Oryctolagus cuniculus: one gene and its partners. The protein of the gene in region 6 purifies or fractionates together with the protein of the main gene of each other region. This does not show direct contact. Links are inferred from orthologs where the notes say so. Each region holds a gene or a part of one and is shown on either strand. Other genes may lie near its edges. The genes, in order: PPP2R1A, CDCA4, PPP2CB, PPME1, SERTAD4, PPP2R2D and PPP2R1B.

Region 1 (3,969 bases), on a different chromosome or scaffold from region 6:
GCAAAGGAAGACCTTTCTCTCTCTGTCTCTCTCTCTCACTGTCCACTCTGCCTGTCAAAAAAAAAAAAAAAAAAAAAAAAAAAAAATCTTGAAAAAATTGCTAAGTCTGGGTGTCAGACACTATTTTCTCTACTTTTGTCTGAAATCTGACAAGTAAAGATGGTAATGGGGCCAGCATCCTTAGAGTTGGCCACCGCCTGCAAGCACCGGTTCCCTCCCACCTGCAGCTCCCGCTGATGCACTGGGAAAGCAGTGCAAGACGGCCCAAGGGCTTAGTCCCTGCCCCCCATGCAGAGGCCCAATGGGGTGCTGGGCTCCTCCCTTCAGCTCGGCCCAGCCCTGGCCACTGCAGTCATTTGGGAGGTGAACCAGCAGCCGGAACACCTCTCTTTCCTCTCTGTAACTCTGCCTTTCAAACAAACACATCTTCTAAAAAAATGTTGATGGAAATAGATTCGTACCTATCTAAGACAGCGTTTGTGAGGATTCAATCAACACAAAGCGCTCGGCACACTCCGCAGCCCACAGCAGGGTCTCAGTCCCGGCACTACCGACGTCTGGGCCACTTCGCGCTGGGGACTCTGCGCACTGCAGGGTGCTGCATGTCCAGGACCTCACCCACGGAAGTCAGTGGCTCTCCTCACAGCAGAGAGCCTGCTGAACCCCCCGGGGGACGTCACCCCACGCTGAGAACCTCTGCCCTACACACCCAAGAAACAGCGTAAAACACGCCATGCACACCAGTCAGAAGCCTCCTGTACTCCATCACCACCTCCCCACGGCTCGGAGTACATGCAGCTGTAAACACGGTACGTGCACCAGCCCTGTCCTCACCACCCCAGCAGCTGCTAAATTACTCCTCCCTGTCTTCCCTAGGCGTGGAGAGTGACTCTGAAACCCGCCCTCTGAACAGCTGACCACATTTCAAGAAGCACGGTGCCCCGAGCACCCCGGACAGCGCGGTTAGGCCTGTGCATCTCACTGGTTTGGGGGAGGAGTGGACTAGGGGATCCGGTGACTCTGTGGCTGAACTCATGTCACCACCACCACCGTCTTCCCTCACTTTTCCAAGATCCAACTGTGAGCCATCGGGACGACGGAATGGGGTCACCAGTACTGAACACCCACTCTGAGGCAGCCGGCTTCATTGCACCTCCACAACCAGGCAGATGCAGGCTGGGGGCTGGGCCCCAAAACGGAAAGGTACCGCTGCGAGGGCACTCAGGGAGCCAACTGGGGCTCCGACCTGTCCCCCTCAACTCTACCTCGCCCACTGCATCACACCGAACTGGCTCTGCCCTCCCTGACACAGCCTGGCTCCACCCACGGCTAGCACCAGCCCTGCTGCTCCTACCCCACGGTCACAGGACTCCTTCAGAATCGGTCACTGGACGTTCCCCTAGTAAGGCCTTGCAGTGCCCTCCCCACCCTCACCCCCATCCAGAACCACAGGCCTCCCAGCCTAGGCCTCACTTCCCACCGCCTGGCCATTCACTCTGCTTCAGCCACACTGGCCTCGTCACGTCCACTCACAGCCTTCGCAGCAACAGTCCCCTTGGCTGGGACGGCCACTGTGCTGTCCGTCCTTCACCTCACTCCAGCCCTTGCTCGCAGGTGTCCTCCGGGCAGCCTTCCCTAACCTCCCCATCCAGTGCAGCAGGCTCCGCTCACTCGGTCCCCGTCTCTGCCTCTCTTTCCTTCTTAGCGACGACTGCGACTGACATCACATTACAGATTTATTTCTGTCCCCCTCCCTGGAATGGAAACCCACAAGAGGAGCAGCTTTGCAGGTCTGCCCCCTGCTGTACTTCCGGTCTCTAACGCATGGTCCCCACAGAGAAGGTGCTGGATGGATACTTGCTGAACAAGCGAATCAAGGCTCCAGGCTTTCCAGCACCCTGAACTGTCTCACTAAAGACACAGACCCACCAGCATCTGGATGCCGCCCGCACGGCGCTGGCCCACCCCAAGTTCTGTTCTGCCTTCTGGTCCTAGCTACTTCCTTTCAGCTGCAGGGCTGCAGCTGTGTTACTTCTGGTTCCTGAGCTCAGGCTTCCTCACCTGTGCGATGTAGATAAGCACAAGGCCTGCTCCGAAGGGCGGTAAGAGCAGCATGTAAGTCAGCAAGCACGTAAACACTGAGGCCCGATGTCTGTCCAGCACCTGGGGCAGAGCAAGCACCCTAATCTGATACCAGGGAAGCTGTAGTCAGGGGTTGCCGGTTCTTACCTACAAGGGACCAAAGTACTTTGGCTCTGGGAACCAGGCCATCTGCTAACAACTCCTCTACTGGGTGGTTTCGGCACAGAAAAAGCAGCCACAGACAACCTACAACTGAATGGGCGTATCTCAGTTTACAGACAGCAACCACTCTATTTAGAAAAGCAGGAAAGGGCACAGGTGGCTGTTAGCCAATCCCTGGCTTAAACGGAGGCCGACAAGGTCCTTCCAAAGGCTGGACTTCACTTCCTCTTCAACTTTATTTCCCAGCATCAAAACCAGCCCAGGACCTTTGTACTCATTTCCTCCGCCTGGAATGCTATCCCTAGGTATCCACGGGCCTGCTACTTCCCTGCATCCCTCTACTCAAATCTCACCTCCTCCGCAAGGCTTGCTCAGCCACTCCAGCGAAGCCCGGATCACAGCCACGCTGGCCAGGCCTCCCCACCCCACCCTGTTTTACTTGTCTCCACGGCACTCCTCACCATCTGCTCTTTCTCTCTGCCTGCACAAGCGAGTGAGCTCCACAGGGTAGGTCTCTGCCTGTGGCACTGCAAGATGTTCAGCTGCATACCTGACCTCCACCTACAAGACACCAGAAACAACCCTCTAGTTACCCCAACCAGAAACCTCGCCAGATGTTGCCGAATGTCTTCTGGTGAGCAAAATCGCCTAAGTTAACAACTACAGCCCCCGTGTGTCCCCTCTCTTTCTGGAAGCACCTTCGCTCAAAATCTGCATCCTCAGCTGGCCAGCGCAGTGGCGCAGCAGGGCACCACCTGGAATGCCAGCAGCCCAAGTAAGCACCGAGGAAGTCCCAGCTGCTCCACTTCCGAGCCGGCTCCCTGCTAACGCGCCTGGGAAAGCAGAGGAAGAAGGCCCAGATGGGTCCCTGCACCCACGTGGGAGAATGGATAGAATTCTTGGCTCTCAGCTTTGGCCTGGCCCAGCCCTGACCACTGCAGCTCTCTGGAGAGTGAACCAGCAGAGGGAAAAGCTCTCTAACTGCCTTTCAAACACATAAATCTTTTTAACAAAAACAGTCTGTACCCTCCCTGCAGGCCTCCTTACCACGCATCCCCACCCCACTCTGCCCGTGCTGTGCTCCTTCCCTGGTCTCCACCGGTGTCTGCCAAACCTCAGCTCCTTGGCAAGGCTTCCCCGGACCTCTCTAAAGCGGCGTCCCCGTCCGGGGTTAAGTTTTACTTAACATGGGGTTTATTGTCTCCCTCACTAGGGCGTCAACAAAGCCAGAAGTTGTTATCTGTGTGTTGACTGCTGCACACCAGCGCCCAGACTCCCCCCAGATACTTACTGATTCACAATCACAGCCCCTTGTTTTATTTCCACACTGCCTACACGTGTTAATAACATCGGACACTGAGTTCTGTCTCCCGCACAGCAACCCGAACTACCGCTACCCCCCCAGCACCACCCCGAGACACAGCAGGTGTCTGTCAAACGCATTCTACATCAGCACTACGTGGACCAGACAGCAGCCCCACTCGAAGGCTTGCGGAGATGGACTCACTTGCCCATCTCCATCAGTGAGGAGTGCAAGGGCCGGGACTACAATCACAGCCCGGTGCCACCAGCACCTGCAACCCACGGAGCTCGGCAGGCTTCCTCGTGCAAGGAAACCCGCACAGCTTTACCAAGGCGGGAACTGAGGCCGAAAGGGAAAATGAGACCGCGGTCACCGCCGCCTTAATCACAGCCGACTAGTTACTGGGCCCATTTCAGCAGCCC
Region 2 (4,292 bases), on a different chromosome or scaffold from region 6:
GGAGCCCCGGGGGAGCAGGAGCATGAGGGCGGTCCCTCCTCAGAGGTGTGCAGGGCAGAACCGGCGCCACCAACACCCCTCTCAGGAGCCCCCGAGGGTGCACCCGACAACAGAGGTCCCGTCCTCCCAAGCACCCTGCACACTTCAACACTCATCACAGGAAGTGGCCAGGTGAAGGGCCCCGAGCATTCCCTGTGGGAGGGGCCATGCTCAGGGGGCGGAGCCACACCCTGGAGGAAAGCTGTGGCCTCTAGGGGAGGGGCTCGAGCTGCCGCTGGTCCAGGAGTTCCAGCACCCGTCTGACGCCGGTGCAGCCGCCAGGACGCAGGCCAAACCGCGACCTCACCAGATGTGGGCTCTGGGTACAAGAGCCAGGACGGCCCAGCACTCCGCAGCTGCCTGTGTGTCCACACACGTCACAGCACAACGGTGGGAGTGTGGGACCACGGCCTACTCCCCCGGGACAGCAGGCAGGCGCTCCCCCCACCACGGCACCTGCTCACGGCCGCTCCCCCACTGTCTCGAAACGGAAGCCATCAACACCGAAACACACAAGGAGATCAGTGGCCAAGAGGCCACACCCTAACGGGGCCCTGGGTTCGAGTCTCAGCTCTGTGTGCAGTCCAGCTTCCTGCTGCTGCGGCCTCCCTGCCTCGCCAGCAGAAAGTGGAGACCCAGTCACCCCTGCTGCCCCGAACACAACCCCACGTCCAGAGTCCTGGCTCGGGCCACAGCCTGCAGGGCCGGCACGTCGGGGAAGGGTCCGGCTGCTCCACTCCTGACCCAGCTCCCTGCTAACGGCCTGGGACAGCAGCAGAGGACGGCCCGGCCCTGGCTGTCGCAGCCATCTGGATGCTAGACCTCCCTCCCTCCCTCCCACTCTGCCTCCAAATAAATAAATAAACCTACAAGTCAATGGCTTAAAACCGCCAAGTACGGCGAGCATCGGAGGCCCCGGGCTGGGTTCCCTGTGCTGACCCCCCACCGGAGCTAAAACGCCGACTCGGCACGGCCAAACCCCTGTACCGCAGGCCGTCTGTCCGGTGGGGGCCGCTCGCCAGAGGAAAGAGAACACAACCGAGGCCCGGCAGGGGCGCGCTGGGCACCTGACCCCCGCCACAGCCTGCTTCCCACGGGCCTGGGGCCAGACGCAGCCTCCTGGGAACCAGGCGCCGCTCACCGCACCGGGAGGCACAGGCGCACACACACACGCAGGCACACGTCCCCCGCACACGCACACACACACACACACACACAGGCACAGGTCCCTCATACACACACAGACCCCTGCACACGCACACACACACAGGCACAGGTCCCTCTCACACACACGCAGGCACATGTCCCTCACACACACACACATGTCCCTCACACATGGACACACATCTCTTGCACACACAGTCCCCCCGCACGCACACACACACACGCAGGCACACGTCCCTCATACACACACAGACACACACACAGAGGCACACGCCCCCCCCCACAGGCACACGTCCCTCTCTCTCTCTCTCTCTCACACACACACACACACACACACACACGCAGGCACATGCCCCCCCACAGTCCCCCCGCACGCACACACACAGGCACAGGTCCCTCTCACACACACGCAGGCACACGTCCCTCACACACACACACATGTCCCTCACACACATGCACAGACACACATCTCTTGCACACACAGGTCCCCTGCACTCACACACACGCACACGTCCCTCACACAAACACACGCCCCCCGCACACACGCAGCTCCCCGGCACACGCACAGGTCCCACGCAGGCACACGTCCCTCACATACACGCACACACAGGCACACGCGCAGAGGACGGAGCTCTGGACAGGGCCGCGGCTGCCCCAGGCGGACCTGCTGGCCGCGACCACCCAGTGACTTCCGGAAACCCCGGCCCGGCGGCCGGCACTGGACGAACTCCCAGCTTCGGGCCTTTGTCCCAGGCCCGGCGCCCAGCACACGGAGGGGCCTCTCCGCCCGCGCCCCCAGCTCCCGGGCCGCCCGCGGCCAAGCTCACCGTCCCCGCCGGCAGCTCCATGCTGGCCCCGCGTCCACGCCGCCCCGCTCTCCTCCCTGCCCGGCTGTCCTGCGGAGAAAGGACATTTTTAGGAACTCGAGGCAAAGGCTGCCCCCAGCTCCACCCCGCCCCCCGTCCTGCAGCGCCCCCGCAGGTGCGGGCCGACCCCGGACACCGACCCCCAACCCCACCTGCAAAGAGCGAGCCCGGGGCCGCACCGGTCCGCCGCGCCCCGCAGAGCGAGGCCCACCTCTCCCTGAGCGCGGACGAAGCGCCGCGGCCCGCGGGGACAGCGCCCTCCCGCACCCGGCCAGGGCCCCGCAGGACGCCCGGCTCACCGGCCCGACACGCGCCGAGGACCCACGGGCGGAAGCCGGCCGCCGAGAAGCCGCGGCCCCAAGCCGGCCGGGCCGCCCCGCCCAGCACGTGACCCCGGCCCGACGCCGCCGGCCCTTCCGGGGACAAAGGCCTGCGCCCCCGGCGCCCGCCCGCCCGCCCGCGCCGGCCGGGCCTCCCCGCTCGAAGCCGGGCGGCCTGGCCGCGCCCCGCGCCCTCCCGCAGCGCCCGCGCCGGCTGCACCCGGCCGCCCCCCCAGCCCGCTCCGGACGCTCACCTGCGCGGGGACCGAGCCCGCGCCGCCACCGCCGCGTCCCGCCGACGAGGGAGGGCCCGGCCGGCGCGGGGCGGGGCGGGGCGGGGCGCGGCGCGGCGCCACTCAGCGCCCACAAAGGGTCGCCATGGCGGCCGCCGCGCGCCGCCCTCGCCGATTGGCCGAGCACGGGGGCGGAGCCTCGGGTTCAAACCTGCTTGGGGCGGGGCCAGGCTGCGCCCGTTCCCGCGCGGCGGCGGCGGCCGTTGGGCGCCTCACGTGCCCTCGGCGGCCCCGCCCCTCCCGCCAGATGCCGTGAGCGGCTCCCAGGATTCCTCGGGCCCGGCCCCGCCCCCAGGCTCCCAGAGGGCGGGGTCCTCGCGCCTGGCCACGCCCCTGACTCCCAAGTCTCCTCGCGCGCGTCCCTGAGTGCGCCTGCGCTGGGGATTTCCAGGGGGCGGGCGGGGCTGTGAGGCTTCCGCGTCCGTGCCCTGCAGGTGCAGCTCCCGGGGCGCCCCCGCCCGGGCTGGTCCTTCGGCGATGCCCAAGGGCTCGGGCCCTCGGGCCTGGGAGCCAAATGCATGACCTGGGGGCCGGGGCGCGGCGGCTGGCGGCGGCCTCGGGCCCGCGGCTTCCGCGCCCCGTGCGTGTGGGCCTGGGTCGCCCACCCCCGGCTCCGGGAGGCGAAGCGGCGCCGTGCACCTGGGCGGCCGCTCCGCTGGAGCTGGGACAGTCGGGGCGTGGGGGGCGGCCTCCTCCGGGCCGCGCAGCCGGGCTCTGGGCCTCTGGGTCCTGTCCCCGGTGTCGGGGCCGCATGGGTACCGGGGCGCCGAGGGCGTGGGCCCGCCCCGCCGTCTCCCGTGATCCCGCTCTCCGGGGCGCCGTCCGCATCTCCCCACATTCTCTCTTCGCGACCCCGGCACCCACGGCAGAGCGCCTGGAAAGCAGCCGAGGAAGCCCCAGGAGCGGGGCCGCCGCCGCGCCGGAGACCCGCAAGAGGCGCCTGGCTCGGCCCGGCCGCTGTGGCCTTCTTGAACCAGCGGATGGGAGGCCTGCCTCTCCGAATTACAAATAGATAAAAACTTATAAGATTTTATGTATTTGAGAGGTAGAGTTACAGACGGTGAGAGGGAGAGACAGAGAAAGGTCCTCCATCCACTGGTTCACTCCCCAGATGGCCGCAACGGCTGGAGCTGGGCCGATCCGAGGCCAGGAGCCAGGAGCTTCCCTGGGCCTCCCACGCGGGTGCAGGGGCCCAAGGACTTGGGTCATCTTCCACTGCTCTCTCAGGCCACAGCAGAGAGCCGGATTGGAAGAGGAGCAGCTGGGACTCGAACCGGCGCCCATATGGGATGCCGGCGCCGCATTTGGAGGATTAACCTACTGCGCCAGGCGCCCGCCCCCAAATAATAAAATTTCAAAAAATACGGCGCCTGGCCCACCTGCTGACCTGACTCTGGCTTGGCGGTGCTGCCCCCTGGTGGCCGCGCGGTGGTGCTTGCGTGACAGCGGAGCGGAGGGCACCTCGTGGGCTCCATCCGGGGAAAGGCCTGGTGCTAGTGGACTGGGCAGGGCGGAGGGACGGCGGGGAGCCCGCGTCAGCGTCCAGCTGGCTTCCCAGCTCCCGCGCTGCTGACGTGAGGTCCCTCTCTCCAGGTCTAACGCAGAGCCCC
Region 3 (4,018 bases), on a different chromosome or scaffold from region 6:
ACCCTCTATGTCTCAATGTCGGCCCCACACACGGGCACCATCTTAATATAATCAGTTCAAGAGATCAGTGAATATGATCCCTGCCTGGCAGGTAAGAAGTCAAAGGTGCCAGATGGGCAGCTAGCAAGTGGAGCACAATTTGAATCCAGACGGGTGGAACGCTACACCTGTTATTAACAACAAGCATGAGGTAGGGATATAAAACCAGAACTAAGGACTACAGGTAGACCCTAGGTTAGTACCTAGTTGGTACTCTATATCCATAGAGATATATCCTCAGATTCAACCAACCAGAAATTATGATATGGGGGAAAAACTGCCTCTGTACTGAACACAGACATTCTATTTCTTATTCTCTAAAAACACAGTATAAAAACCATTTACATAATATTTTCATATCAGGTGTTACAACTTAGAGATGATTAAAAATATACAAGAGGGACCAGCGCCGTGGCTCACTTGGCTAATCCTCCACCTGCGGCACCAGCATCCAATATGGGCGCCGGGTTCTAGTCCCGGTTGTTCCTCTTCCAGTCCAGCTCTCTGCTGTGGCCCGGGAGGGCAGTGGAGGATGGCCCAAGTGCTTGGGCGCCTGCACCCGCGTGGGAGACCAGGAAGAAGCTCCTGGCTCCTGGCTTTGGATCGGCGCAGTGCCGGCCGTAGCAGCCATTTAGGGAGTGAACCAACGGAAGGAAGACCTTTCTCTCTCTAACTCTGTCAAAAAAAAAAAAAATATATATATATATATATATATACACAAGAGGAGGTATGTACATTACATGCAAACACTGCACATTTTATAAAAGGGACTTGAGCATGGGGACTTTTGGTATTCTTATAGGACCTGGACCAATCCAGCACAGATACGGAGGCACCACATATGCCACAAAAGTAAGCCATAGTTGCCAGAACAAGGCGGCTACACTGAGAGCTGCTGAACTACTGGCACTCTGCTCCACTGGCAACTCTATCAAAGTGCACAGAGCACAAACACAAATGCAAGGCGATCTTCACTTGAGCTTCACATTTTGTGGATAACTACAATCAAAGATAGAACAGGTCAACGCGTAAGTAAACTATAGCTGTAAGATCCTAGGTAGTTCAACTTATTTAGGAGGTGAAGTAAAAATAATCTCTCGATAAATACACAGTTTCCTGGCATGATTTAAGATTTGAGTGCAATTATCAATGTACTGGTAAAATAGTCTCCTCTAGGAAATTAAAATTATTAGAAAGTCAAAAAGAAAAACTGATTCAACTACCACTTTAGTCATAACTTCAAGTCTGTATCTGACGTTCACAGGGAGGTTAACCAATTCAGCTAATTACTCAAACTTGATGCTGGAGCTTGAGAGTTTAGTAAAGCGTAAATTGTAAGACCCATGAAATCACAGGTTTTCACACACACACACACACACACACACAAATGTGGAATGAAGGTACAAGCAAGCAGTTTGCTTCAGGAAGAGAAATATACCATTTCTGTGGCACTTCTATCTGCAGAAATAAATTCAAATTCACTTTTATCTGCAGAAATAATAACATGTAGTTATTCAATATGTAAGCTCCCTGGGCACTTGTTAAAAACAGTGGCTACCCCTCCATCCTTTAGTTGCATAATTTAAAAAGTGCCCTACTGGGGCCTGTGCTGTGATGTAACGGGTGACATCTTTACTTGATGACTGAGGCTGGTTGAGTCCTGGCTGCTCCACTTCTGATCCAGCTCCTTGCTAATATGCACCAGCGTGGGAAACCTGGAGGCGGCTCCTGGCTCGGGCAGGGCCCCCACCATTTGGCGAGTGAACCAGCAGATGAGAGATCTCTCTCTTCCTCTCTGTAACTTTGCCTTTCAAATAAATAAATCTGTCTTTTTTTTAAAAGTGCCCTACTAATAAGGCTTAAAAAATTACTTCCTCAGTGCTTTTCTGAGGTATGCGGGCTTTCAAACACATTTAAGAAAATAACCTAAAATAACCTCCTTACTCCAGTACCTCGTGGACTTCCAAGGGGACTTTCCAACATACGAATACATGAAAACTAATTAGTCCACAGCGCAAATGATGAATGAAGAACAACTGGAGGCTCTCAAGTACACCACCTGCACAGGTGAGAATTCCACGGGTTCACAAAACAATGGCTTCCGAATTCAGAAAGCTAAGACCAGACACCTGACAACAATGCACTGCCTGCAGGGTTTACCCCCGTTTGGGGACTGGAAACAACTTTCTGAAAAGTGCCACCCTGCATGACAACTCACAGGACGGGACTTTAAGAAATTTTTTTTTTTTGGTGTAAAAAACCGATTTTTAAATCCACGAGCAGTCTTTAATCCTTATAGGCATTTTCCACGAACTGTCCCCGAGCTCCGGCCTCGCGGCGCGGGTGCCGCCAATCCACGCGCGCCGTGCGGGGCGCCATCTGCGCGCACCTCTATTTTAAAAAAGCCACCGTCTGCCATCACGCCCACCGCTCCGGCGCGCGGGAGCAAGTTGGCCGACCCCGACGACGCGGGGTCGGGTCCCTCTCGGGCCGTCACGCCCGTTCCCGGCGGACACCCGAGTCGGCAGCGCGGGGGCGCGGGCACTGCCCCGAGCCGACTGCGGCGTCGGGGGCCGGCGCGGAGCCGCGGCCAGGCCGGGCAGGGGAGCCGCCGCCGCCGCCCAGCGCCCCGCGTTCCTCCCCGGCCGGCCCTCACCTTCTCGCACAGCGTCCGCACTTGGTTCTCGTTGAGCTGCTTACACTCGTTCAGCTGCTCGACCCACTGGTCCAGCTCCTTGGTGAACGTCTTGTCGTCCATGGCGGCCCGCTCCCCTCCCCCACCCGCCCCCGCCCCCGCCCCCGCCCCGGGCGCCGCTCCCCTCACCCGCCGCCGCCGCCGCCGCCAAGCCCCGAGCGGGACAGGAAGGAGCTGGGGAGGGTGGCCGCGGGCCCCGCACCCGGCTCAAGTCCAGCGGGCGGCTCCCCGAGGGCACCCCGCGTCCGTCCCCGCCCAGGGAGTCTGTGGGGGAAGCGGAAGGGTCGGGGTCGGGGGGGGGGTGGGGGAGCGCGGCGAGGACGCTCTGGACGCAGCTCCCGCCGGGCGATGGCCGCCCGCGACCGCTGCCGCCGCCCGCCGCCCTCTCCCGGCTCCGTAGCCCCTACCCTCTCGCCCTTTCTCTCCCCTCCCTGAGGGTTTCCGTCATCGCCCGGGCATTTCCGCCGGGAAGAGGCGAGCGGGCGGCGCCGCCGGGGCACGGCCGGCGAGGAGCGGAGCAGCGCCCTCGCGTGGCTCGGCGGAGAAACGGCCCTGGGGACCCGGGGTCGGGGGCGCCTGTCCGGTCCTCTTGCTTTCTCTGGTCTTTTCCTCCCAGCCTGGTCTTGGCTCCCCTGATTTCTTCCCCAACATCTTGTCCTAGGGCAACTTCGTGTTCACCTTAAGCTCCCGCAGTGCGTTTCCGCCGCTCTGGACAAGGAATTTTATTCTCCCCAGCGTCAGGCACTCTTCCGAAGCAGGCATTCAATTATTTACAGAATAAATTTCTTCTAGCCGGGTGTCTCGAACGCTCGCTTGCAATATCGGGAAGATGAAATGATTGTTTTGTGCGATCGTCTGGGTCGTTTCCAGCTCCAGCAGTGTTTACCGAGGTGTAATGATTTGGTCAACACGCTCTTGGTGCCGGCTGCCGGCTGCTGGCCAGGCACCTTGTCCGGCACATGCTAACCACCCACACTTCTTCCCTTAGAGATTCGCAGTGCTGGGCGGAACCCCAGAGGGAGGCGGCATCCTGGGTGAGAGGGCAAGTGTTCCTGACCTGGCAGTCGCCACACCTCCTCAAGCATCAGCTTCCCTTCTCAGGCTCTGAGAGTCAGAGGTTGAAAGTGCCTGTCCCGTGGTACACCATGGGAGCCATGTGTCTGTTGTTTTTACTGTCCTGGGGAACACTTTCAAAGAGCTTTAGAATGGGAGCATTTTGAACTGAATTATTAAAAAGCATTTATTTATTTTGAAAAAGTTGGAAAGGTAGAGAGAGATCTTCCA
Region 4 (3,500 bases), on a different chromosome or scaffold from region 6:
CAGGATGGTGAGGAGACAGCGGCATCACAGTGGCCTCTGGTGCGATGTATTTACAACAGAGCTCGATGCTGAGGGAGGGGTGGTGAGCAGGTCACTAACAGCCAGGAAACACACTGTGAAGAGCAAGAGAGGGATGAAAATGTAACCAATCACCAGCTTTCCCCTGCTTCCCCAGGCTCCTTTGGCCAACCCTCCCTAATGACCACCAAGGCCCCTGAAGATCTGTCCCACCTCCTCACAGGCCCATCTGGGACCAAATTTCTACTCTGAGTGCATGTTCCAAATAGCCCAGAGACCTCTAACACTGTTTAAAAGAAATTAGGGGAGGGTATTAGGAGAGGGTTGTAGTGTTTAAGGTGCTATTTGAGGGGAAGGCTTTGTGGTACAGTAGGTTAAGCCACTGCCTGCAATGCCCATATCCCATAAGAACACTGGTTTGAGTCCCAGCTGCTCCACTTCTGATGCAGCTCCCTGCTAACACACCTGGGACTGCAATGGAGGATGGCCCAAATACTTGAGACTCCTTCCACCAACATGGGAGACCCAGATGGAATACCAGGCTCCTTGACTTTGGTCCGGCCCAGTCCTGGCCATTGCAGCCATTGGGGGAGTGGAACCAGAGAATGAAAGATCTCTCTATCCATCTAACTCTGCCTTTCAAATAAATCAATCCTCCCCAAAAAGGATGTTATTTGAGATATGTGCATCCCGTATCACAGTACCTGGGTTCAAGTCCCAGCTCTCTCCTAATTCCAGCTTCCTGTTAATGCATGCATTGGGAGACAAGAGGTGCTAGGTGGAGTACTTGCAGTCCCTGTCACCCATGTGGGAGACCCAGTTGGAGTTCCCAGCTCTTGACTTCAGCCTGGCCCAGCTTCAGCTATTGTAGGCATTTGGGGAATGAATCAGCAAATGGGAGATCTCTGTATCTATTTTTACTAGGTTGAATTTCAAATAAGTAAAAATTTTAAAAAGAGAAACTAAGTCGTCTTTGCTGACTGTGGGCCCCATCAATGGTTAGCTGCTAGAGGAATGGTTCAACATGAGGGTGTCATTCCTATGGCTCACAGCTCCAAGCTCTTATCCTGTTGTCACTCTCGCCTCCAACTCACGGCATTCAGAGTTCTTGTTCAAACTTTCTGAAGGAGGGAACAGGTTCCCCTGAACTCTGAAAATCAGAAGGATTTCAAATGGCAGATGTGACTCATCAGACCGTGGACTTTGAGGACCCAGGGCCTTCCTCAGCACAGACAAGTAGGCTTGAGGGGGGGCAAGAACCTGCTGGGTTAACACAGAGCCCAACTGTGTCTCCCTAAGCAGCTGAAGAGCTTCCTAGGGGGAGAGGCCTGCACTCCCTGCTTCTGCAGACCAGTGGTTCTTAACTGGGAGCAGCTTTGCCTGCCTGGAGACAGCTGTGGTTTGCAGAACCATGTGTGGAAGGTGCTGCTGCTATCGAATGGGTAGAGAACAGGGACACTGCTGAACATCCTACCATGTGCAGAAGAGGCCCCGATAGCAAAACAACAACCCATCTCAAAACGGCGGCCATGCTGAGGCTGAGAAAGCTGCTCTAGGGTCCTGTGGGATCTCTGGGTCCAGCCAGCCTTGCTCAGCAGCAGGGCAGAAGGCACAGAGGCTGATTCCCATCTCAGCCTCCTCGAAAAGGGGGTACCTCAAGAAGAAATGCACATCGCGGTGAGGGGCTGGGAGACCAGGCATGATGAAATCGCACCTTAGCAACAACCCACAGGACCAGAGCACAGAGAAGTAACTAAGCACAGCTTTGCCGAAATACACATGCCAGCCTCTCTGTGGAGGAAGAGGAAGGTGACCCACATAGGCAGGGCTTTGTGAGGCAAATATCTGTTTGTTGGGTTGGGCAGCGCTCATGGAGATCTTACACCCTTGTACTTACCACTGGAACCCTCCGATGGGCTCTGCGAACCTGTGCCGGATCAAGAAAGTGGCAACAGCTTCAGCTACCTGAAAAGGGAGAGATTCCGGGCCATATGAAGGTTTGTGATGGTGCTTACCCTTGGAGTCTTGAGAGCTTCTGTTGGAAAATTAAGCTATGTAATGCCCTCCTGAGTCCCACAAGTCTGGGTAGCTTGAAACCAAAAGGACCTGGGTCCTGGCAGGGCTAGCAAACTCCCATCATCCTTCAGGGAATGCCAGCAAGCTCAAGAGGAATGGGACTTATTTATCCCCTTTGAGTTATGAAGCTCCTTTTTCCCACAGGAGTAGTTCATGTTCATTCCTATTTGTGACTAGGTTAGGGAACAGTTTCTACCCTCAACCATCCCTTCTTCCACCTGGCTTTTGGGAGCAACACAGCTTAAGATCTCAATCATAGGGCCCTGAGAGGAAATGCAAAGGACACAACAGGTCCTCAGCCCCACCCACAAAGTCAAGCCCACAGGCAGCTGCTAGAGCCATGTTTGGGAAGCTGGTGGCTGCAGGTGCCTGGATTTCCCTGCAGCTGCAGGCATCCCAGGCTAATACTCAGAGGCTTGTCCTATCTCCTGGGCCATCCAAAGTCGCTCTCACAGTTGTCCTGTCGTGAAGCACCAAACTCACCTTGTCAGGGGCATCCTCATGGACTGCATGGCCACACTGGGGCAGGACCTGCATCTGGAACTTCCCTGGAGAGGAAATAAAGCCAGGCAACCTCAGGCACTCATACCGCCCTCCCTTACTACCTCTGCAGCCTCTCAGGTCACTCCAGGAGCCCAAGATGGCCCCATTTCAACCCCAGCCCCAACTCCATACTGATTACCTACCGCCTCTTTGATGAAGATGGTAACACTGTAACCCTCAATCATTTCCCTTCACTTTTCCTTTTGTGCCTACTTAGTGTACAGTGACCTTGGGGTAAGAAACACAGAAGAGCCTGGTGTTGTGGCATAGCCAGTAAAGCAAGCACTTGTGATGCCTGTGGGCACTGGGTCTTGTCCCAGCTGCGCCACTTCCAATCCAGCTCCCTGATAATGACCTTGGGAAGGCAGCACAAGATGACCCAAGTACCTGGGCCCCTGCCACCCACATAGGAGACCCAGGTAAATCTCCTAGCACCTGGCCTTTGTGGCCATCTAGGGAGTGAACCAGCAGATGTAGGCTTGCTCACTCGCACTCACTCTCCCTCTTTCAAATAAATAAACCCTTTAAAAAAAAAAAAAGACACATAGAAGACAAATCCTCTGATCCTCAAGGAATTAACAGACCAGAAGGGAGTAAGACACAAAACCAACATTTTCATGCAGCATGTAATTCCTGTGATAAAACTGGGTAGGGTTGCAAGAGCAGAGGGAAAGAGCTTCACAATCCAGTAGGAAGCCAGAAGGCTTCCTCCATAGAAAAAATGGCCTAACACAGAAGAGAGCAGCACTGGGATGGTATTTACTGCTGGAATTAAAAGCAGCTGAGCATGCTGCTTGGGCAGGTGGTTACTTAATGGTGAGGCTGGAGAGCTAAGCCAGGACCATCTCATGAAATTTCTCAGC
Region 5 (4,045 bases), on a different chromosome or scaffold from region 6:
CCGGGACTCCAGAGTTGGTATGTGTTAGTCTTGTTCCCCAGCATATGAAATTCTATCATTATGCATTTGAACTTGAAATGTGACATAATAGTTTTTATCCTGTTTCTTTTGTTTACAATATCTAATTTTGGTAAGGTTTCCTTTTTTTGAATTGGAAACCGGTTACACGCAACATCCTAAACTGGGGAGGCTGCGTTCTGCCAGTGATTTATGTAAATCTGAATAAAACATGAATGAGTTGGGATTACTGGAGAATGGGGAGGAGATTTTGCAATTGAGTCTTCCTGGTCTATTTAGAATTTACACCAGGATGTTAACAAATTAAGAAGGGAAGTTTAACGCTCATGAAAAGCTGGACTGTGCAGTACTAAGCACCATTGTTTCATGGGAATTTTTATCTGTAACACATGGAGGAATCCAAACTGGCATTACTCCCTGTATGAGATTTACATTATAATTCTGCTGCTGAATTCAGAAGTTCAAGACCACAAATTTATGTGCTGTTAATTTTTAAAATTTCCATGTGCTGATAACAATTAAGTACAGCCCCAGGGGTATAGATGGTGGCAACATTTGTTTCTTTACCGGCAGAGGCAGGCAGATCCAAATGGAGGATGTTCAAAGTGTGTTTTGTCTGTGCTTAGAATTACCAGCAGGTGCTTGGGAGTCTGTTCTGTCACCCGAGTGGATGTTGTGGAATGAACGACCTCTCAAACATCCCCAGGAGACTGGGGGCTAAAATGTCAAGTTCTTCCAGCAAACGTTCACAGCAAAGTCACCAGGCATTTCTATACACATTGGTTCTTCCGGAAGAGTTGGGCTTGTCAGTTCTTTGGTGCCACTGTGGTGCTAACAGGAGCGGCTGGCACACTGGCCAGGGCAGCCCTGAGCTAGTGGCCTCTGGACTCTAACGGGGTGGGGTGGGGGGCCCTTCTGGCCGCTTTGTGCCCACACCTCTCTCCTCTCCTGTGACTTCGGAGAACAGGCAGCATTTCTGAAGCGCATCACAGCAGTTAGAGAGCACTGGCTGGAGCCCAGGAGCCCAGGGGAGCTGCTGGGCTGCGGCTGCCAGCACAGCAGTCTCACACGTGTGCCAGGTGGAACCAGCCCCCTGACCTCCACATTGTCCCTAACAAAATCTCAACAGCTTGTCTGGCTCGTGGCGGTGTTGGAAGGGGCCGGTGGGTGGAGTGACAGCCTTGAACCCTTCTAAACAGACAGATGTCGCTTTCCTGCCAGTCCCTGCGGTACACCTGTCTGCCCTGGGAAGCGCATTTCTCTGCCCCAGCCCCGCGAGGCCGAGGGCTTCAGGTTGGGCGGTGGAGTTGGGAAGGCTATGCTGGAACCCAGGGAGCACTGAGAGGTGTCGGGGTGTCCGAGGCTTGGCTTGGCCCCCGACTTTTCCCAGCAGAGGCCCAAGGTCAGGGTCCTGGGTTTGGAAGGTCCATCCCCTGCAGGCGGGCAGCGGCTACGGCGTCCAGGCTCGTGCTCGGACACAGCCCCAGCCCCCGGAGGCGAGCGCCGCAGCCCCGAGCCCCTGCCCCAGCTCGCGAGCTGAGCCCGGCAGCGGGTGAAAGTCACCAGCACCCCAAGTGTCTAGGAACAAAGGCAAGTTGTCTTTCCACGGTGCCAGAGCCCTGCGCCTCTCCTGCAGAATAAGAGCTATTATTATTCTTTCTTTTCGTCTCCCTCTTCTTTTTTTTTTTTTTTTTTTCTTAAACCAAGTTTCCTTCTAAGGGAAATAAACACCAAAGGTAGGATTCCAAGGAAGTGACTCACGGCGGTTGGCAGGGCTCTGGCGAGGCTGGCCCGGGCCCCGCGCTCCAGCCCGCAGCAGATGCCGGCCCGGCCTCCCTCCTCGCCGGCCCATCCCACCCGGAGCCGCGGCCGCCGAGCGCCCGGAGCGCGCACCTCCCAGCGGTCCGAGGCCGCCTCGGCCCCGCTGGTGCGGCCGCAGCTGGGCATTCGGGAAAGTTGCTGGGACCCAGGAGGCGGGAGGGAAGGAAGGGGGGAGAGAGGCGGAGGCGTGGACCCGGCGGGCAGCAGCCCCAGCCCGCCGGGGAGGTGAGCTGAGGACAGAGGAGCCGCCGCCGCCCGCAGCGCGGCTCGGCTGCCTGGGAGGAGGGCGCGGGGGCGGAGGTGGCGGGGGACAGAAGGTGTCAGCTCCCGCAGCGATTCTTTTTTCTCGCAAACGCGCGCTCCTGACATCCACAACCCCTCCCTCCCCACCTGCCGTGCGCCGCGGCGTCCAGATCTGGGGACCTCCCTCCTGCGGACCTCGGTCCCCTAGGAGGAGAGACCCAGCGCAGGTCTCCCCCCGCGAGCTGCTGGCCGCACCTGCCCCTGGGGTCCGCTCCGTGCTCGGGGGCGGCAGCCGGAGCTAGCAGCCCCGGAGGCGGCGGCGGCGGTTCCCGCCCTGGGAGAGGCGCCGCGGCGCACGCCAACCCCGGGAAAAGCCCGCGCCGCCTCCGCGCGCAGCTGTGCCCCGGCCCCCACGCCGCGCCCGGGTCCCGCTCCGGCCCGCCGCGAGGCCACCCGGTGGCCCCGGCGCAGCCCCAGGGTGGCGGGGGCGCGCGGGCAGGAGCCCCTGGGCACCTGCCCTCGCCCTCCGAGCCGCCCGGCCCTCCGCCCCCGCGGCCCGCGCTCAGCCCGGCTCTTACCGCGGGGTCAGCGGGGAGGCGGCGGCCGCTGGTCCGCTCCGGGCTTGGCGCCAGCGCGGCCGCCGGTGCACAGAGGCGCGGGTCCCGGCCCGGCGGCCCGGTCGGCGGTGGCCGCTGGTGCGCGGCGGGCGAGGGTCCCGGCAGGTCCCCGCCGCGGCTGGGGCGCTGCGCCGCCGTCGCTGCAGACGGTTATGGTAATGAGCGGCTGTGTCTAGCTAGGAGCGCGTGAAACCCGTCAATCCTGTTTGCCATTTCCCCGTGGATTTCCGAGGAGAGGCTGTGCAGGATGCCCCCGGGGCGAGAGAGGGAACATGACAAGCGCCCGCGCTCCCTCCTCCTTCGCCGCCGCCGCTCCTCAGGAAGCACACGGGGCGCCTTCCCCTCACCCCCACCCCAGCCCGCCCCTGCCTCCTTCCCGGCTTCCCGCCCGCCCTCCGCCGCCCCTCCCCGCCCCTCCCCTCGCGCTGCCCGGGGACACGCGGGCCCTGCTCCAGCCCGCAGCCCGGACCCCACGCGCTCCCGGGCTCCCGCCCTGGCCCCGGGGGCTCGGCTCCAGCAGAGCCGTGGATTCGCGCCGCAACCTTCCGAGACGTCGTGTCTGTCTTTATTTGGTTTAGTTTCGTGGCTGTTATTGTGTGTGCGTGCGACTTGAAAAAAAAAAAAAATCTGTGCTTTTCCCACCCTTTGCAAAAGACTTTCTTCTCCTTTGCCACAGCAAACCGAGATGAGAAACAGATGTCCGTGCAGGACCCAGCGGTGTGCTCCCTTCGCCTCCCGCTCCGCCGCTCCCCTCCTGGGCTGCATCTGTAGGTATAAAAAAAGCAGCCTAGGTCCTGCTGCAGCTTGCATTGGCAACTCATTCTGCGTGGGGAGCCGCGGGGAAAACCCCCAGGAAATAAAAAGAAAGTAATAAAGGAGGTTGTCCTTGGTCAGGAGAACGTAACTGCAGCCCCAGAATCCCATTCTTTCGCTCACGGCAATTTCCCCCTGTGCTGGGCTCCATCGGAGTTTGTTGTTGGAAACATGAATTGGTAACTTCTGCCTGGGGACCGCTCCGTAGACGAGATGGGTCATTTCAGGTGTAATGAACGCAGAGGCTTGGAAGGCAGAAACCTAATAAAACCGAGGGGAGGCACCTGCAGGAACGTGTTACAGAGGCTGTAATGTTTGTTTACTGCACTCCGCCAGATGTGCTAAATATAACACTTCTTTAAAACAGTGATCCTCCGACTGTGGAAAGACAAACCTCTGGCTGCCTGGCTCCCCAGGAACCAAGGAGGCGCAGAGCCTGAAAATCAGGGAGGAAAGGAGCAAGATCAAGGGTGAGGATTAGCATCTGCAAATTGAACTCTATCTGATTTGCATGTTTATTTCCTAGAATTGTA
Region 6 (3,500 bases):
GGCTAGGACAGCGCTCGGCACGCCATGCGCCTTGTCGGAGTGCGTTCCAGTCCAACCCGACTTCCTGCAGGGCACACCCTGGGAGACAGCAGGTGGGCCCTGTCAGTCACACACGGACGCAGATGGGAGTTCTGGGCTCCCAGCTTCAGCCTGGCCCGGCCCCGGCTGTTGCAGCATCTGAGTGGATCAGCAGATGGCAGATCTCTAGCTGTCTTTCCAATCAAAAACAAAGCTTTACTTTCAGGAACAGGAAACTGCTCTAGGTGCCACCATGAAGACACGGGCAGGCATCAGAGGACACGGCCCCTCCCCAAGTGCCATGGGACAGGGTTTCTGCGCCGCAGGCCCCTGTAGCAGGCACAGGAGCACAGAACGCCCCCTTTTAAGTTTACTTTTATTTATTTGAAAGGCAGAGAGGAAGACAGAGACAGCTTCTGTTCGCAGGTTTGCTTCCCAAATGCCCAAGACTAGCTGGGGCTGGGCCAGGCTGAAGCCAGGACCAGTCTCCCTTGTGGGTGGGGGGCAGAGACCCCGCACTTGGGGCCTCACTGCTGCCTCCGGGCGTCTGCATTAGCAGGAAGCTGGACTGGAAGCAGAGCTGGGGCCTGGCTGCAGGCACTCCAATGTGGGATGCAGGCTTCCCAAGGGATGGCTTAAACCACCGTGCCACACACTCTCCCCAGGGGTGCCGAATCCTTAACACACTTAGTCTGAGGAAGAGAGCGAGGCAGAAAGCTGTCAACAGCTAGAGTCAATGGGTGAGGATGAGCAAGGGTGCCTGAGGCTGCAGCTGACAGAGGTCCCACAGGCGCTGCCTGGCGGCTCTGGGGCTGGTGAGTGCGCTCTGCTCCGCGGGCGCAGCTGCACCTGCTCCTGCCCGGCCTGGGGGAGGACCAGCAAGGTTTCCAGGACGCCTGTCTCCAAACACCATGGCAGACTGTGGTTTTCCACAGAGTCGGGCCAAGTAAGAACAAAGCCACCACCGTTCTTCTCATGACTGCACGCATTCGAACGCCAGACCTCAGGGACCTGGCTCCAGGTCCAGCAGAGCTCACTGGTGAGACGCGCTCTCGCAGCCCGGCCCAGGCGCTAGTGCTCCGAGGGAGACAGCACTGCCCGCCGGGAGCCTGCCGTGTGGGCCCCAGGGAGCCGCCTGTCTGGTGGCCGCGGGACACTCACATTTGGCGTGCCTGTCGCACAGGGCGGACGAGCGCATGTCGCACAGCCGCACGGTGCCCTTGCTGCTGCTGTAGACGAGCACGTTGCACTGGTGCGGGTGGAACTCGGCCGCCGTGATGACCTCCGTCAGCTCCTCCATGTTCGCGGGCTTGATGTCCACGATGTCTGCGGAGCAGCGTTAAGGCTCAGGGCTCAGCGCCAAGTTTGCCCTCAACAGGGAACACGTCACCACACAGGGAGGTGGAAGGCTCAGAGCAAAGCAGCCACCAGACAGAGGGCAGGCGTGAGCCCGCTAACAGACGACGGAGCACGGAGGGCCATGCAGGGACGGGACAGAGGGCAGGTGTGAGCCCGCTAACAGACGACGGAGCACGGAGGGTCATGCAGGGACGGGACAGAGGGCAGGCGTGAGCCCGCTAACAGACGACGGAGCACGGAGGGCCATGCAGGGACGGGACAGAGGGGGGCAGGCGTGAGCCCACTAACAGACGACGGAGCACGGAGGGCCATGCAGGGACGGGACAGAGGGGGGCAGGCGTGAGCCCGCTAACAGACGACGGAGCACGGAGGGTCATGGCAGGGACGGGACAGAGGGCAGGCGTGAGCCCGCTAACAGACGACGGAGCACGGAGGGCCATGCAGGGACGGGACAGAGGGGGGCAGGCGTGAGCCCGCTAACAGACGACGGAGCACGGAGGGCCATGCAGGGACGGGACAGAGGGGGGCAGGCGTGAGCCCGCTAACAGACGACGGAGCACGGAGGGCCATGCAGGGACCACCTCTCTGCTGTTCTCAGCGTGTGTTTAACCACCAAGAAAAAGTAACAGACGCACGCTACACACACCCAATACACACCCAATACTGCCACAGAGAATCTGATTATCTGACATGGAGAGCTTGCTCTGAATACTTGGAGCCACGTCCACGTAGAAACCAGTCAACTGAGACAAGAGGGAAGTCAGGATTCCACGATGGGTCAGCCTGGCCGCCCGCTGCAGCTGTGCCGGAGAGACTAGCCCGCGGCTGTCCAGGGGAAGTCACCGACACCGACAGCGGGCAGGGAGAGATGCACAGTGAGCCCTGTCTGCCCGGCCTGCTGGCTGGGGCACGTGCGGGCCACGGGGCGGGGGGAGCCCACGAGGGGCCCAGCGAGTCCGAGAGGAGGCAGCAGGTTCCGGGAAGGCTGCAGGGCTCAGCGTGAGGAGCTGCCCAGCCAGGCCCGTGACCTCAGTGCGGGGCAGCACGGGCAGGAGGCCGAGTCTCCAGAGCATGTGTGAGCAGGGCTGGGGCTCTGCCCAGAATCCACATGGCCCCGGGCGCAGCAGCCGGACAGGCGACGGAGGGCACGAGGCCACGGCTGACGACTGACTGCCCGGAGGCAGCGCAAGCCCCACGCCACACTGCTCCCAGGCAGGGAGTGAAATGCCACCCTCGTCACCCTCGTCTAAGCTTCCGCCATTTCATGATCTGTCAGCAATGTAGAAGAAAAAACACGCAACACAGCCTGGTCAACACTGCCACTGGCGGAGCCACGCGGGCCACGGCCTTCGGGTCATTCCCAGCACACTGAGAACCTCCCCCAAAGGCAGAACAACGCCGTGTTCTCAGGGAAAAGTGCTTTATCTCACGGGGAACTTACAGCACTGGCTCTAAGCAGTGTGCAGCGTGCGGTGAGACTGAGAAGCAGGGGCCAGCGCTGTGCCACAGCGGGTAGAGCCGCTGCCTGCAGTGTGGCATCCTGTATGGGCGCCAGCTCAAGTCCTGGCTGCTCCACTTCCGATCCAGCTCTCTGCTATAGCGGTCTGGGAAAGCAGTGGAAGATGGCCCTTGTTCTTGGGCCCCTGCACCCGTGTGGGAGACCTGGAGGGAGCTCCTGGCTCCTGCCTTCAGACTGGCGCAATCTGGGGAGTGAACCAGCGGGTGGAAGACCCCCGGCCCTGCCTCTCCTTCTCTCTTGGTGTAACTCTGACTTTCAAATAAATAAGTAAATCTTAAAAAAAGAAAGAAAGAAGCAGGCATGGGATGTGCGGGGAAGGATACTGAAACTTCTGTCCGTGATTTCCAGGTGCCACAGGTTAATTCGCAGGTCATCTGCAGAGAGATACGTCTCGTGGTCACTGTTCACTGAAATGGAATTGATGTGATACGTGTGAGCATTCGCAAAGATCCGCCGCGGGCTGGCTTCCACCATAAGGTCCATGGGCTTCAAGATGGGGACCTGTAAACGGAAGGCACAGGAATTGAAATGACGACCACATAGCAGGGACTGGGACAGACCTTCACGGCCGAGAGCTGGTGTCGTGCAGAGCACACGCCCAGTC
Region 7 (4,194 bases), on a different chromosome or scaffold from region 6:
GCCCAGCTCCAGCCATTGCAATCATTTGGGGAGTGAACCAGCAGGTAGAAGATCTCTGTCTCTCTAAGTCTTTCTCTCTTCTATGTAACTCTGCCTTTCAAATAAATATATCTTAAAAAATTCAAATACCTGTTTGACATCTAAATAGGAACATTACAGAAAGATACACACTTTCAGTGATAACTAGGTACAGTATATATCTAAATCCATATCTGTCAACTTGTGGGGTTCCATAAAGTTCAGAAGTAGACAGAAAGAGTAAGCATCAGACAGTAAAGTCCTGAAACATGTATCATATATCATATCTGTCTTGTCCAACTGTTGAAATCCTAGTCTTTTTAAGACTTATTTTATTTATTCAAAAGGTAGACAGAGATCGAGGTGGAGATCTAGATCTTACACCTGCTGGTTCACTCTCTCCCAATGGCTGGGGCTGGGTCAGGCAGAAGCCAGGAGCCTGGATCTCCCTCAGGGTCTTCGATGTGAGCAGCAGGGGTTCAAGTGCTTGGGCCATCATTCACTGCTTTGCCAGGCACACTAGCAAGGAGCTGGATGGGACTTGAAACAGCACTTGCTCATATGGGATCCTAGCTGATATCACAGCTGGTGGTTTAAACCACTGCACACGCTGCCCTACTCCCTTTGTAACCCAATCATTTCTTAAAACAGTTCAGACATCAACTGTTAAGAAGTCTCCCCTAATCACCTTAATTCTTTTCTCCTCTCTTATTTGGGTATCTTAAATGTGCTTATGTTTCCCCATTGAAGATTGTACCCTAATATTTGTGACCAAAAACAAAGATCTCATTACATTTGTTTGGCTTTCTTTGACATTAACATTGTAACTTACAATATGCCTCATATAGCAGGCCCTCAATAAATGTCAACTGACCAAAATCACAGTGTAAGTCAGAAGCAAAAGTTACACTATAAAGACAAAATATTGCTGGATGAAAAACAAGACTTCCAATTTTACTGGGGGGGAGGGGACCCATAAAAATAACCAAATCTTTTTTCTCTTTAAATTAGTAAGTCTATGGAGGCAGAAAAATAAAGAACTTCTATTCATAGAAAATAATAAGACAGGGTTGAATCCAAAGTGCTTACATTATATATTCTCTCAATGGCTAACACTATGAGCATCTATCCATAAAATGAGCTGCCTAAAATATACTGCTGTTATGCCTATCACCAAACAATGTATCATTTATACTGCAAAGGTTCTAGAAGGAGGGTAGGCAGCATAGAAATACTCACCAGCAGACAGTGGGCAAAGTCTGGACCTCCCACCAGGCCAGTGAAATTTCCCAACTGCTCAGCAAGAGCTAACAGTACCTCATCTTCATCATAAATTGTATCTGAAAAGGACAACAACCAGGTACTCACCAACAAGGTAACTGGCCAAGAGCTGGACACTCACATAAAACTAGCAATAGATTCAATATGTAAATAGTAAAAACATCCAGTCCCAATCCTAACAGTATTTTCTCCTCAATGAACAGTTTTCCTGGATCTGATTTACAGAATGAACTAGAAATTCATACCTTCATATCAGTGACTTCCCCATTAGCTATACACAGTTAATGTTTGTACGTATCTGGCCACAACATTACCATATGTGTTGTTGAATTTCTTTTGCACAGAAAATACCAGCCTCAATTTGGTGCTTTTTGATACTGTGGACAACAAACTCTGAAAAACAGCCAAAGCTCTGAAAGCCATTGGTAAATGGAAATGTCCGTGCCTTTCTTGAAACACAGACTCACACACCTGTAAGGAATGGCAGCAGTTCAGTTCTTGTCCTTTCTACTCCAAGTGCTAGAGCAATTGTTGATAACTTCTTAATACTGTTGAGTCGGAGCTTTACAGGAGAAAATGGAAAGAACAAAATAAAAAATGATTGCAATGTAGACCAAAAGGCAACAGGAGCAAACAGGTGAACTAACTAACAGGTCTAGGAATAAGGATAATCTTTCATTTACACTTCATTGGTAAGGAACAGTAATGTAACACAGCCTTATTAGCCAGAGGGAGGATTCCTAGGCCAAACTCTCTACAAGGGCCCGAAGAGAAAGGAATGAAAGAAAATACTCAGCAAGCGGGACAATGTTAAAAAGCCAGAACTCCGGCAGCGACGAAGCAGGTGAGACGGCTGAATACAACCTACACCGAAGCAGACACACCGCCTCACTTAGGTTCCTCAGCCAGGCCACCCGCTTTCTACCCAACAGGCCCAGCCAGTTTCCAGGCCCAGGGGAAGAGGCTGGGCTGCACCTCAAAGGGCCCTCTGGCATCCTGCGACCCGCAGGCCGCCCAGCTCCCACGCGGCCCGGCCCTGCGCCCCTCCCGAGGGCTCGCACGCTGGGCCCGCAACGGGGCGCCCAGGCGGGAAGCCGGCTTTCCGACAACAGCCCGGGACGGTCGGAAGCCCGACGGAGGGGTGCTGGAGAGGCCCCGCGGTGGGCCGGGGCTCGGCGCCACAGCCCCTCGCGAGTCTTTCCAGCTTCCCCTTCGAGTTTCTGCTCCGCGTCCGGCTCTTTCAACCTCCCGGCCTCCCTCACAGCGGCTCCGGGCTTCCCCCTTCCCTACCCTGAGCGACGCCGGACCAACCCGCCACGGCTCTCCCCGCCCCAGTCCGGTACCTGCACGTCCTCGTTGCGGAGTTCGTCGATTAAAACCGCGATCGGATATAGCGAATCGTCTCCATCTCCGCCCGCAGCCCCCGGGCCGGTACCGGGCCCCGCCGCGCCCGCCATGTTCTTTCTCCTCCGGATGGTCGCCGCCGCCAGCCCCCGCCCCGCGCCCCGCCCCGCGCCCGCGCCACGCCCCGCGCCACGCCCCGAGCCCCGCCCCGCGCCCGGGCGGGCGGGGCTGAGGCCTCGGCGCGGGCTCCGCGGAGGTGGGAGCACCGAGCCTCTGCCCCGCCGATGGAGGCTCCCGCCCGACCCCCATTGCAGGAGGCGGAGGTCCGAACTCCAGAAGAAAGGTGGGCTGTGAAAGCGAACGGAAGCCCAGTGTCCTTTCCTCAGCCGAAAGAAACAGGGGCAGGGATTCATCCTGCTCGTTGTGGTCTGAAGGAGGCAGGTACCTCCGTGAGCGATCAGTGTTGTGCTCTATTAGGACTCAGGCCGGCCAAAAAGGGTGTCCGAGGCCAGGAGGAAGAAGGTTTTAGCGCCTCCCCTGCCTTCATCCTGGCCCTGAGCCACTGGGTCTCCAGGCTTCATCTCTGCACTCAGGATCAAGCTTCCACAGAACCCCTCCACCTCTTCTTGAGCCTGCTCGCCAGAGTTGTATCTGGCTCCTACTCTGTAAGACAAATAACGCGGGCGGCGAGAGAAAATGAACAGTGCTGTCCAAACTCCCCAGTCAATATTTTTTCCACGCAAGCTGTTAAAAACATGCTGCTCTCTTGTTTTTATGTTTCTTTTCAGTTTGGTACTGGAATGGTGCCTTCTGTTGTATTTTCTTCCTCCCATTTTTTAGCTCTTTAGCATGCAAGAAGTACAACAATCAAGCAAAACTAGGACAAGCTCTAATCCTTGCAAACTGCGTGGAGTGGCTCCTGTGCTCCTTGCAAGACAGCCTGACGTGGCCTCCCCAGACCCGAGTGTCCTCAAAGGCGGCCCTGGGGGAACGTGGGGGTCTGGGAGTTTTTCCCTGCAGAAATTCAAGGGAAGGTTTTCATTTACCCGTGTTAGGGCAACACAGAATACCTAGATGTCCTGTCCCTGCTTTTGACTGGAATTCAAGTAATAACTACATAGGAGGACTACAAGCTCTGATATTTTTCTGTCTTATTAATAAATACGATTTTGAGCCGGCACCGCGGCTCACTAGGCAAATCCTCCACCTTGCAGCGCCGGCACACCGGGTTCTAGTCCCGGTCGGGGTGCCGGATTCTGTCCCGGTTGCCCCTCTTCCAGGCCAGCTCTCTGCTGTGGCCAGGGAGTGCAGTGGAGGATGGCCCAAGTGCTTGGGCCCTGCACCCCATGGGAGACCAGGAGAAGCACCTGGCTCCTGCCATCGGATCAGCGCGGTGCGCTGGCCGCAGCGCGCAGGCCGCGGCGGCCATTGGAGGGTGAACCAACGGCAAAGGGAGACCTTTCTCTTTGTCTCTCTCTCTCACTGTCCACTCTGCCTGTCAAAAAAAGAAAAAAGAAAAAAAAAGAAATGCGATTTTGGAGACAAATGTTG

Evidence for each region.
Region 1: the proteins of PPP2R2D (region 6) and PPP2R1A purify together in Homo sapiens (affinity purification with mass spectrometry; 9 studies listed by BioGRID and IntAct, counting the BioPlex papers as one, with this or other methods). This does not show direct contact. The link is inferred for Oryctolagus cuniculus from reciprocal best matches to the Homo sapiens genes PPP2R2D and PPP2R1A.
Region 2: the proteins of PPP2R2D (region 6) and CDCA4 purify together in Homo sapiens (affinity purification with mass spectrometry; 3 studies listed by BioGRID and IntAct, counting the BioPlex papers as one, with this or other methods). This does not show direct contact. The link is inferred for Oryctolagus cuniculus from reciprocal best matches to the Homo sapiens genes PPP2R2D and CDCA4.
Region 3: the proteins of PPP2R2D (region 6) and PPP2CB purify together in Homo sapiens (affinity purification with mass spectrometry; 6 studies listed by BioGRID and IntAct, counting the BioPlex papers as one, with this or other methods). This does not show direct contact. The link is inferred for Oryctolagus cuniculus from reciprocal best matches to the Homo sapiens genes PPP2R2D and PPP2CB.
Region 4: the proteins of PPP2R2D (region 6) and PPME1 purify together in Homo sapiens (affinity purification with mass spectrometry; 4 studies listed by BioGRID and IntAct, counting the BioPlex papers as one, with this or other methods). This does not show direct contact. The link is inferred for Oryctolagus cuniculus from reciprocal best matches to the Homo sapiens genes PPP2R2D and PPME1.
Region 5: the proteins of PPP2R2D (region 6) and SERTAD4 purify together in Homo sapiens (affinity purification with mass spectrometry; 3 studies listed by BioGRID and IntAct, counting the BioPlex papers as one, with this or other methods). This does not show direct contact. The link is inferred for Oryctolagus cuniculus from reciprocal best matches to the Homo sapiens genes PPP2R2D and SERTAD4.
Region 7: the proteins of PPP2R2D (region 6) and PPP2R1B purify together in Homo sapiens (affinity purification with mass spectrometry; 4 studies listed by BioGRID and IntAct, counting the BioPlex papers as one, with this or other methods). This does not show direct contact. The link is inferred for Oryctolagus cuniculus from reciprocal best matches to the Homo sapiens genes PPP2R2D and PPP2R1B.

Annotation. Positions count from the first base shown.
Region 1 is NC_091449.1:6,415,854-6,419,822, reverse strand, and holds the start of PPP2R1A (serine/threonine-protein phosphatase 2A 65 kDa regulatory subunit A alpha isoform), read right to left. Parts: upstream 2,801-3,969; 5' UTR 2,793-2,800; coding exon 2,706-2,792; intron 2,164-2,705; coding exon 2,062-2,163; intron 82-2,061; exon of another isoform or gene 1-81. UniProt on the Homo sapiens protein: The PR65 subunit of protein phosphatase 2A serves as a scaffolding molecule to coordinate the assembly of the catalytic subunit and a variable regulatory B subunit.
Region 2 is NC_091451.1:47,066,231-47,070,522, forward strand, and holds the start of CDCA4 (cell division cycle-associated protein 4), read right to left. Parts: upstream 2,801-4,292; 5' UTR 2,644-2,800; intron 2,483-2,643; exon of another isoform or gene 2,369-2,482; intron 2,357-2,368; exon of another isoform or gene 2,222-2,356; intron 2,100-2,221; 5' UTR 2,052-2,099; coding exon 2,031-2,051; intron 1-2,030. UniProt on the Homo sapiens protein: May participate in the regulation of cell proliferation through the E2F/RB pathway. May be involved in molecular regulation of hematopoietic stem cells and progenitor cell lineage commitment and differentiation.
Region 3 is NC_091433.1:80,852,010-80,856,027, forward strand, and holds the start of PPP2CB (serine/threonine-protein phosphatase 2A catalytic subunit beta isoform), read right to left. Parts: upstream 2,801-4,018; 5' UTR 2,798-2,800; coding exon 2,696-2,797; intron 2,038-2,695; exon of another isoform or gene 2,023-2,037; coding exon of another isoform or gene 1,984-2,022; intron 1-1,983.
Region 4 is NC_091432.1:65,501,875-65,505,374, reverse strand, and holds part of PPME1 (protein phosphatase methylesterase 1), read right to left. Parts: exon of another isoform or gene 2,643-3,500; coding exon 2,578-2,642; intron 1,984-2,577; coding exon 1,916-1,983; intron 114-1,915; coding exon 95-113; 3' UTR 1-94. UniProt on the Homo sapiens protein: Demethylates proteins that have been reversibly carboxymethylated. Demethylates PPP2CB (in vitro) and PPP2CA. Binding to PPP2CA displaces the manganese ion and inactivates the enzyme.
Region 5 is NC_091444.1:25,080,555-25,084,599, reverse strand, and holds the start of SERTAD4 (SERTA domain-containing protein 4), read right to left. Parts: upstream 2,801-4,045; 5' UTR 2,661-2,800; intron 1-2,660.
Region 6 is NC_091446.1:1,029,650-1,033,149, forward strand, and holds part of PPP2R2D (serine/threonine-protein phosphatase 2A 55 kDa regulatory subunit B delta isoform), read right to left. Parts: intron 3,398-3,500; coding exon 3,220-3,397; intron 1,345-3,219; coding exon 1,180-1,344; intron 1-1,179. UniProt on the Homo sapiens protein: Substrate-recognition subunit of protein phosphatase 2A (PP2A) that plays a key role in cell cycle by controlling mitosis entry and exit. Involved in chromosome clustering during late mitosis by mediating dephosphorylation of MKI67.
Region 7 is NC_091432.1:103,722,085-103,726,278, forward strand, and holds the start of PPP2R1B (serine/threonine-protein phosphatase 2A 65 kDa regulatory subunit A beta isoform), read right to left. Parts: upstream 2,801-4,194; 5' UTR 2,757-2,800; coding exon 2,643-2,756; intron 1,862-2,642; coding exon 1,771-1,861; intron 1,359-1,770; coding exon 1,258-1,358; intron 1-1,257. Other genes in the region: alpha-1,2-mannosyltransferase ALG9, read right to left, coding at 3,117-3,306. UniProt on the Homo sapiens protein: The PR65 subunit of protein phosphatase 2A serves as a scaffolding molecule to coordinate the assembly of the catalytic subunit and a variable regulatory B subunit.